2 linked regions of the Stegostoma tigrinum genome follow. Each later gene encodes a partner of the first gene's protein in a complex. Links are inferred from orthologs where the notes say so. Each region holds a gene or a part of one and is shown on either strand. Other genes may lie near its edges.

What was found.
Region 2: the proteins of fmn2b (region 1) and protein spire homolog 1-like are in contact, whole or in part, in a crystal structure (PDB 2YLE), measured with the Homo sapiens proteins. The link is inferred for Stegostoma tigrinum from reciprocal best matches to the Homo sapiens genes FMN2 and SPIRE1. Residues at the interface, in NP_064450.3 of Homo sapiens: Ser1702, Leu1703, Lys1705, Ile1706, Lys1707, Pro1708, Arg1709, His1710, Gly1713, Ile1714, Lys1715, Lys1717, Ile1718, Lys1721, Thr1722; in NP_001122098.1 of Homo sapiens: Gln51, Pro52, Ile53, Asn54, Glu127, Ile131, Tyr134, Lys135, Asp138, Leu141, Lys142, Glu143, Asn144, Glu145, Glu146, Arg147, Glu148, Glu154, Ile157, Asp158, Ala161, Asn162, Thr163, Val164, Glu165.

The regions. Positions count from the first base shown.
Region 1 is NC_081362.1:76,939,492-76,943,416, forward strand, and holds the start of fmn2b (formin-2), read right to left. Parts: upstream 2,516-3,925; 5' UTR 2,317-2,515; intron 1-2,316. UniProt on the Homo sapiens protein: Actin-binding protein that is involved in actin cytoskeleton assembly and reorganization. Acts as an actin nucleation factor and promotes assembly of actin filaments together with SPIRE1 and SPIRE2.
Region 2 is NC_081358.1:117,566,275-117,570,199, reverse strand, and holds the start of protein spire homolog 1-like, read left to right. Parts: upstream 1-1,288; 5' UTR 1,289-1,540; coding exon 1,541-1,820; intron 1,821-3,925.

The sequences.
Region 1 (3,925 bases):
GCTGAGTGAGCTTAGTTAAAGTGCTTCCTTTGTCAGAGGCAGGGCTGTGTTGAATAAAGCTTTTAAGAGAAGGAGCATTACAGGAAAAAGACTCCAAGAAATGCTAAAATGAAGGATCGGTTTTGCATGTAACACTTTTAACAGTGGGTCTGCTTGCAAGTTTCTAGCAGTTTAATGTTGATTTACAACAAAATGCAAGCTAATCAGCAATGTCCTATGTTTTTTCCAACTGCTTGTTTCAATCTCTACCTTTAAGATGCCTACAGCCACATCAGAGATAATTGTGTTGGAGTTAACAGTAATTCTTTCAATAGTATTAATATTGCCATTACATCTACATCTGAAAAATTAGCTTTTAATCAATAGATTTTCCAAGTTGTTTCCATTTTAACTTGATCCAAGAAAACCTAATTTCATCCATATTGATTCTTAAAGAGTAATCTCCAGTTTTTGAATAAAATCGATCCCATTCATAGCACGCTATAAAAATATGTGCTTGCCATTAAAGAACCCACAAGTTCTATTCACTTAGCTGATTTGCCTTTTTGCTTTAACTTTCCTTTATAAGTTCATGTCCATCTCAACACTGCATTCATTATGGCAGCCATACACGCATCTGTCAGAAAGATGAATGATTTTCTGTCAATTTTAGTAAAAAGATCTGGTGGGGCAAGTTAGAAAACACAAACAAAGGGATTAAAAATTAGAATTCACGTGGTGAAAATGATACTCCATCTATTTTCTGTGTAGCAGGTATCAGTTCAGATGAAAGTCATCAACAGTGAGGGAAAAGAATCATGTTTTGCCATCTGAAGCCAGAAATTAGATTCCACCTGCTGAGTCACTCTTTTTCAGTAGCTATTAATATATTCTTCCCTTTGTCACTGCAGGATTTACCATTTCAGCTGAAAAATAACATGCAGTTTATTATGACTTTTATGTTGTTGTTTGTGAACTATGCTCATGTTCTAAATTCAGCTTCAGAAAATATTTTAATAAGCTGAACATATGTTTGAAATGAGGTTCCTAAAAAAAAACTCACATTGGTAGTCCAGGAACTAAACATTGCTAAACAAAGACAAGAAATCAATTCTTTTCATTTTTGTGCTCATCAGGGCATCATCGAAGAAGGATCACTGGACCAGAAACGTAAACTCTGCTTTGTCTCCACAGATGCTGCCAGACCTCCTGAGATTTTCCAGCAATTTCTGATTTTGTAGGGCATCATTAATTCTTAGACCAGGCAGGGAGACTCTGATTTTTCAAGATTCTCAACCATCCTGTACTTACAAGCCTTAAAATGTTATATCCACTCTTGATATGCGTCTGCTGTGGATGTCATTTAATAAATGATGGGACTGTGCTAAGAATTACACAGGGAACCGATTCAAGATTATCATGAAGTTTCATCAGCTTGAAGTGACGCACACTGTTATGCAGGACCTTGTTTTATGGAAATGGAATTCATCCATCCATTGCAGTTTTCTTGTTGAACAGGAAAGGATCATGGAGACTCCCAGTCTCTACTATATTTCCATGGCAACACCCTAAACAATCAGGGTCTACCACCTGGTCCAAGAACAAAGATTGACAGTCAACTGTTCCTGCTGCTTCTCCAGGTTCATGATGGCACAGCCAATCCGCATTCTCTTCACATTATATAAATTAGTGTCCCTTTTTCTAAGTCCGTTTCTTGAATTGAGTCCTGATTAGTGCAAGGTAGAAAGCTTTAACTTCTTGTTTCCTTTTAGCAAATAATCTTTGTGAAATTTTCTTGACCAGGAGGATTTGGGCATTTGATGCTCCAGATCCATTTGTGTACACTTCAGCATCTTAGCTCAATGCTATTGTTACCTAAAGTACCTGGGTACGTACATTCCAACAGGGATCCCTGATCAGTGATCAGCACTGAAATGGAAACTGTGAGTGAATCCTCTCAGTCATCTCACAGCCTTGATTTGGAATGGCTATCTCAATGCAGATCACGCAAAGATCGAACTCTCCTTCTTTAAATGGCCAAATAAGATACAGGTACATACATATTGCTGAACTACTGAGGGGCATCAGATTCTGTATTTGTTTTCTAAGACTAAAATCACATTCGTAAACAGCAATTGACTAGCATATTATATATGCTATTCAAATAATCTCTGATAGGCCACTGGCACCACTATTTTGAAGACACTGAGTAAATAACAGGTGTGAATTTCTGCACCATCACTGAGGTGTCAACCTGTACAGTAATATCTTTATCTGTACATTTGCAGCTTTAAGATTTGATTCATAACATCATTTGTTATAAATATACCTATTTACCTATTGCTTGTATTTCCTCCTCAAATGCTTTATTTGATGAGCAGCAGTGATTTGCTCTCAGACGCTCTGCCAAAGATCTTGGAATCAGATGTCCACCGGTTAGAACCACCTCAATTACACAGTCTTTGCGCTTGGATTTTTTTTCCCTCTTTACAGTTCTTCAATGGCTTGTGGAAGATGCAAAATCCAACGTGAGAAGAGTAAGAGCAGCAAGCGAGTCCTCTACCTCTTTGTTGCATAGATCTTCTGTGCACTATTTTTAATGGGCGTGGGTGTAGTGGTGCTGTATTCGCTTGGGAACAGAAATGCAATTGGATATGAGGCATCTAAATATCCAAGGGTACAGAAAATGCTGTATATTACATGACTTTTACTCTAGGTGATGCTATAACATTGTTTTTGCAGGGTATTGCAACTTTCTTATTATTTCAATGTTACATTCCATGGAAGTTAAAATCTATATATATATACACACACACACAAGAAATATTCAAAGCAGTGGGTGTATGCTAATTTCGTAGCGTAATAATCAAAGGGAATTGTTATCTTTCACCCATTTTATCTGCAGGCAAAAACAGCGCACAGCACACAATACAGGAGCAAGGTTGAGAAGGATGCCCGTTCAGACACAACTGGAAAATTGCTGGAAAGCCCCTGTGGGGAACTGAACCATGGAAACAAACATGGGAAAAGGCCATGTTTGATGCCTATGTGAAGGATGGTTTGGAATCTGCTGATCACAACAATACTGTGGAAGGAACAGTAAAAGCCAGAACGGTTGAAGATGCATCTGAAGAGTGCCATACAGGAAAATGAGCTCATGAAAAGTCAGATTATTTGGGATATGATGGCACTGGACAATGGGCAAGAGATTGAGGCTTGCATTTACCCGCCGATCGGGTAATGGATGCTCATTTGTTCAGCAGCAGGAGTTGAGAGAGAGTGTGAGGGGATTGCTGGGAAGGTAAAATCGTTCTGGCAGTGGCAAAACCCGAAACACTACACTTATAGTGTCTCCCACCCACCCTCCTCCACTAACCAAAAAAGCAAGACTCTGTGTGGAGGGTCAATAAGGGGCAGCACGGTGGCACAGAGGTTAACACTGCATCCTCACAGTACCAGGGACCTGGGTTCAATTCCAGCCTCCGGCAACTGTCTGTGTGGAATTTGCACATTCTCCCCATGTCTGTGTGGGTTTCTTCGGGGTGCTCCAGTTTCTTCCCACAGCCCAAAGATGTGCAGGTTAGGTGAATTGGCCATGCTAAATTGCCTGTAGTTTTCAATGATGTGTAGATTAGGTGGGTTATAGTGGGATGAGTCTGGGTGGGGTGCTCTGAGGGTTGGATTGGACTTGTTGGGCCAAAGGGCCTGTTTCCACACTGCAGGGCTTCTATTCTATGATCTATGATCCCATTAGCAAGTGTGAGATTTGTCGGAGGGTAGACCACGTATCACTGTCAAAAAAGCCAATGGCACAAATCAAGTGAGGACATTGTCCACTCAAACCTGGCACTCTGACTAGGTTGGCCAATCACCTTTACAACAATGACATCAATATCTGTTAACCATGGAGGACACCCACGCTAGGTTAACACTGTCTTTCCAGACA
Region 2 (3,925 bases), on another chromosome or scaffold:
GTCTTGATTTTGCCTTATACAGCTGTTTAATTTGGTTTTTTTGATCACTCTTTTGATGTTTTCTGTTTTGGGATGTTTTCCTTGTGGTAAAAGGGTGGTATAAAAGGCAGCTGTTTTTGCTCATACATTATTCACTGCATTTTCATCTATCTGAATTTCCTGTTCCAATAAAATGGGACTGACAATTTGCACAATATCAGATATTAAGGAACCTCTCACTTTGTTCGAAGTAAGGACTCTTTGTCCAGCATTTTGAAAGCTGTGTCTCACACATTCACTTAGCACAGCATCGTCACCCAAAACAATACACTTCCTGATGGTCCTGCCAACTATTTTGAGCATTTGCAGTTCTTATCTGAATTTCAAACAATAACTTCAGTAACAGCTGGCAGGAGGGCAGAATAATTCGTTTTACTTCATCCGTCACCCATTTCTCTTTTTCTTTTATATTGACTCCCTACTTGCTGTTACAATGCAGCAAGTGTGCAGTGTATCAAATAGTTACAAGGAATGTAGTTCTCCAATAATAGTCTAATCACTTGCATTTAACATTCCACACCATCATCATACTGGGGTTTTACCGCTGACTAAAAACTGATTTAAACCAGCTCCAAGCATAGGTCAGAATCTAGGAACCCTGCAGTGAGTAACTCATCTCCTGACTCCCCAAAGCCTGTATATCATCTACAAGGCACAAGTAAGGAGTGGGATGGAAATAAGCCCCACTTGTCTGGATGGGTGCAGCCCCAAAAACACTCAAAAAGCTCGACACCATCCAGGACAAAGCAACCTGCTTGCTTGGCACCACTTCCACTCCCTCCACATCCGACACACAGTAGCAACAGTGCGTACCATCTACAGGACATACCGCAACGACTCACAAAGCCTCCTTCAATGGCACTTCACAAACCTGTTGGCTCTACCACTTCCAAGGACAAGGGGAACAGATGGGCGGGAACACCTCCACCTGCAGGTACCCCCTCCAAACCATTCACCATCCTCACTTGGAAACATAGCACCGTTAAGCGTAGCTGGGTCAAAATCCTAGAACTGCCTGACAGCACTGTGGGTATACCCACGCCAAAACAAAAAGGGCTGCAGTGATTTAAGAAGGAAGCTCACCGCCACTTTCTTAATGGGAGGTAGGGATGGGCGATGAATGCTGACCCAGGCAGAGACGCCCACATTCCTGCGAATTAATAAATCGAAACTAACATAAACATGGAAAATGCAAGCTAAGGAGGCGGGCTTTTGGACCACATAGCAGGAGCGCTCTCTGGCTCCCAGGCAGAGACAGAGTCATATGATTGGATTTAATCAGAAGCCGCTGGAAGAGGTTGGTTTATGCATGAGGAGCTGGCATTGTGGCTGTGCTGCTGTAGAACATTCCCTGTCACCGCGATAATGACAATGATGCAGAGGTTGGAGAAGACGGTGCCGGTTTTATTCCCACTGCCGATGGTGTAGAGAAGGTTTCGCTGCTGTTGTGTTCGGATACACATACAAACACAGACACCCAGAGCCTGTGTGTGTGCGGACCATGGCAGAGCGATGCTCCGGGAGCCCGGCCCCGGAATGCGGTGCCCAGGCGGACTCTCAGGACCCGGAATCCCAGGAGCTGTCCCTGGAGCAAATCCTTAAACTGTACAACCAGCCGCTGAATGAGGAGCAGGCTTGGGCCGTGTGCTACCAATGTTGCAGCAGCCTGCAGCGCCAGCGGCGGCCCGGAGACACGCAGCTATTCCCGGGCAGGCTGAGCGGAGCCAGGACTGTCATTCTGCTGCGAGACGGCAACATCAGCATCAGGAGCGAGGAAGCAGGTACGAGACGCCCCGGAAAGAACAACGAGAGCAGGAGCTGAGTATGGAAGTGAAACGTCTTGACAGGAGTGGGGTGGGGGTTGGGGAGGGCTGTCAGTCCCCCTGAATCTCCAGCAAATAAATAAATAGATAAATAGGAAAGGATGAGGGGTGGAAATCGACAGCTGGCGGAGAAGGAAGCTGAAAAATAAAGCGGACTTTATTCAGTAAATTTTCAAGTCGGTGGTGAAGGAGCTAGAGTGGTCTGTTCTCCAAAAAGGCGAGAGGTTGGGAAGGAGGAGTCAGTACTGGGCCCTTTGATGAGAACACAGCTCCTTAGGCGGGTGGGGAAGGATGATATTAGAGCCAACGATATCCACATTCTCTCTCTTCAAGAGAGAGAGAGAGAAGCCACGAAAGTCTGGCGAAACAGGCACGGCGTCAGTGAGCACCAGCAGGGGCTTTGCTGCATTGTTGACAGTGAGAGTCTCTGACTGACTGAGCCAACAAGGTCAGCGGAGCCGCGGGTAAACAAGCTGCAGCCGAGAAGGTCCAATCAAAATTCACAATCGGAGACCTTCATGGACCAGTAAAAAGGCAGGGCGATGCCTGGGTGAAAAAAAACAGGAAAATACCTATCATTAGAAATAAACTGTTGCTGACAAATGATTTTTTAAAAATAATTCATCCATGTGAAATGAATGCCGCTTGGAATTTATTACTCGTCCCCCTATTTGTCCAGAGGGCAAAGAGCCAACCACATTGCCGTGGGTTTGGATTCATATGTAGGTCAGACCGGATAAGGGTGGAAGATTTCATCCTCTAAAGGACATTTGTGGATTTCCCCTGACAATCGACATATTGGCAAACTTTTTATTCCTGATTTTTTAGTGAATTCAGAGTTCATCCTTTACTGCGGTGGAATTTGAACGTGTGTGGCCAGAACATTAGCTAGGAGCTCTGTCCAGTGATATTGCCAATATGCCACTACCTCCCCAAAGTAATAACAAACAAATATAAACACTGATATGTCAAAAATAAAGTTGTGGATTGAAAATACACAGAAGAGTTTGAGGAAAAACAGATAATGCAGCCATCTGAATTGAAAGTAAGAACAGGCCTGGACACAGCCATGCATTTGCATGGCATGACTGCACTGCATTTCAGGATAAGCACATGAATTCCCTGGAATATAAACTGAATTTGCCTCACCCAGTTAATGACTAGCTCTGATCATAATGATTAGCTACGCTCCATAAGGCAGCTCACTGTAGGAACTTACTGGCTATGACCTGCATCTTTTACGGCATATTTAACACAATTGTTGTAAAACAAGAAGTAATAACTGGCCCAGGAGCAGCCTGAAGATGGTTGAGGGAATCGTTGAGCACAACTAAACTCAGGTTTTTGAGAGATAGAAAGATTGGCGGAGAACATACTAGGCCTAATAAGCCTGAAAACAGTGTTGGGTTGGAGGATGAAGGGATGCTAAAGAGGAGTTGAATATAGGCACAACACTTTGATTCTATTAATTTACCTCATATACCTGAAGTCTTTTTAATTGCCCTCGCTTCATAATCTCTTGAGATCTCCAGTCAGGAAAATTTCAACTGACCCAGCTTTTGACAGTCTTTTGAGGGAGTGGATCAGTGATACTCAATAACTTATGTGGGGAACGTGTTTCCTGGTTTCAGTCCTGTATGATCTAACTTCAAGAGCATGCTCCTTGTTCTGGATTTTTGTTTATTGGTGTGAGCCTCTTTAGAGAGCTTACTGGAGAGTATGTATCATCCGTAATCCCAGAGATGGTGATTATGAAGCACCAATGTAACTTCATAGGGCATTTCAAAGGTAGTTAAGAGTCAATAGGGGAGGCAATGACCTAGTTGTATTATCACTGGACTGTTAATCCAGAGACCCAGATAATATCCTGGGGACCCGGGTTTGAATCCCGCCACGGCAGATGGTGGAATTTGAATTCAATAAAATATCTGGAATTAAGAATCTAATGAGCATCAATCCATTTTTGGTTGTTGGAACAAACTCATCTGGCTCGTTAATGACCTTTAGGGAAGGAAATTGCCATCCTTACCTTGTCTGGCCTCCATGCCCATAGCAATGTGGTT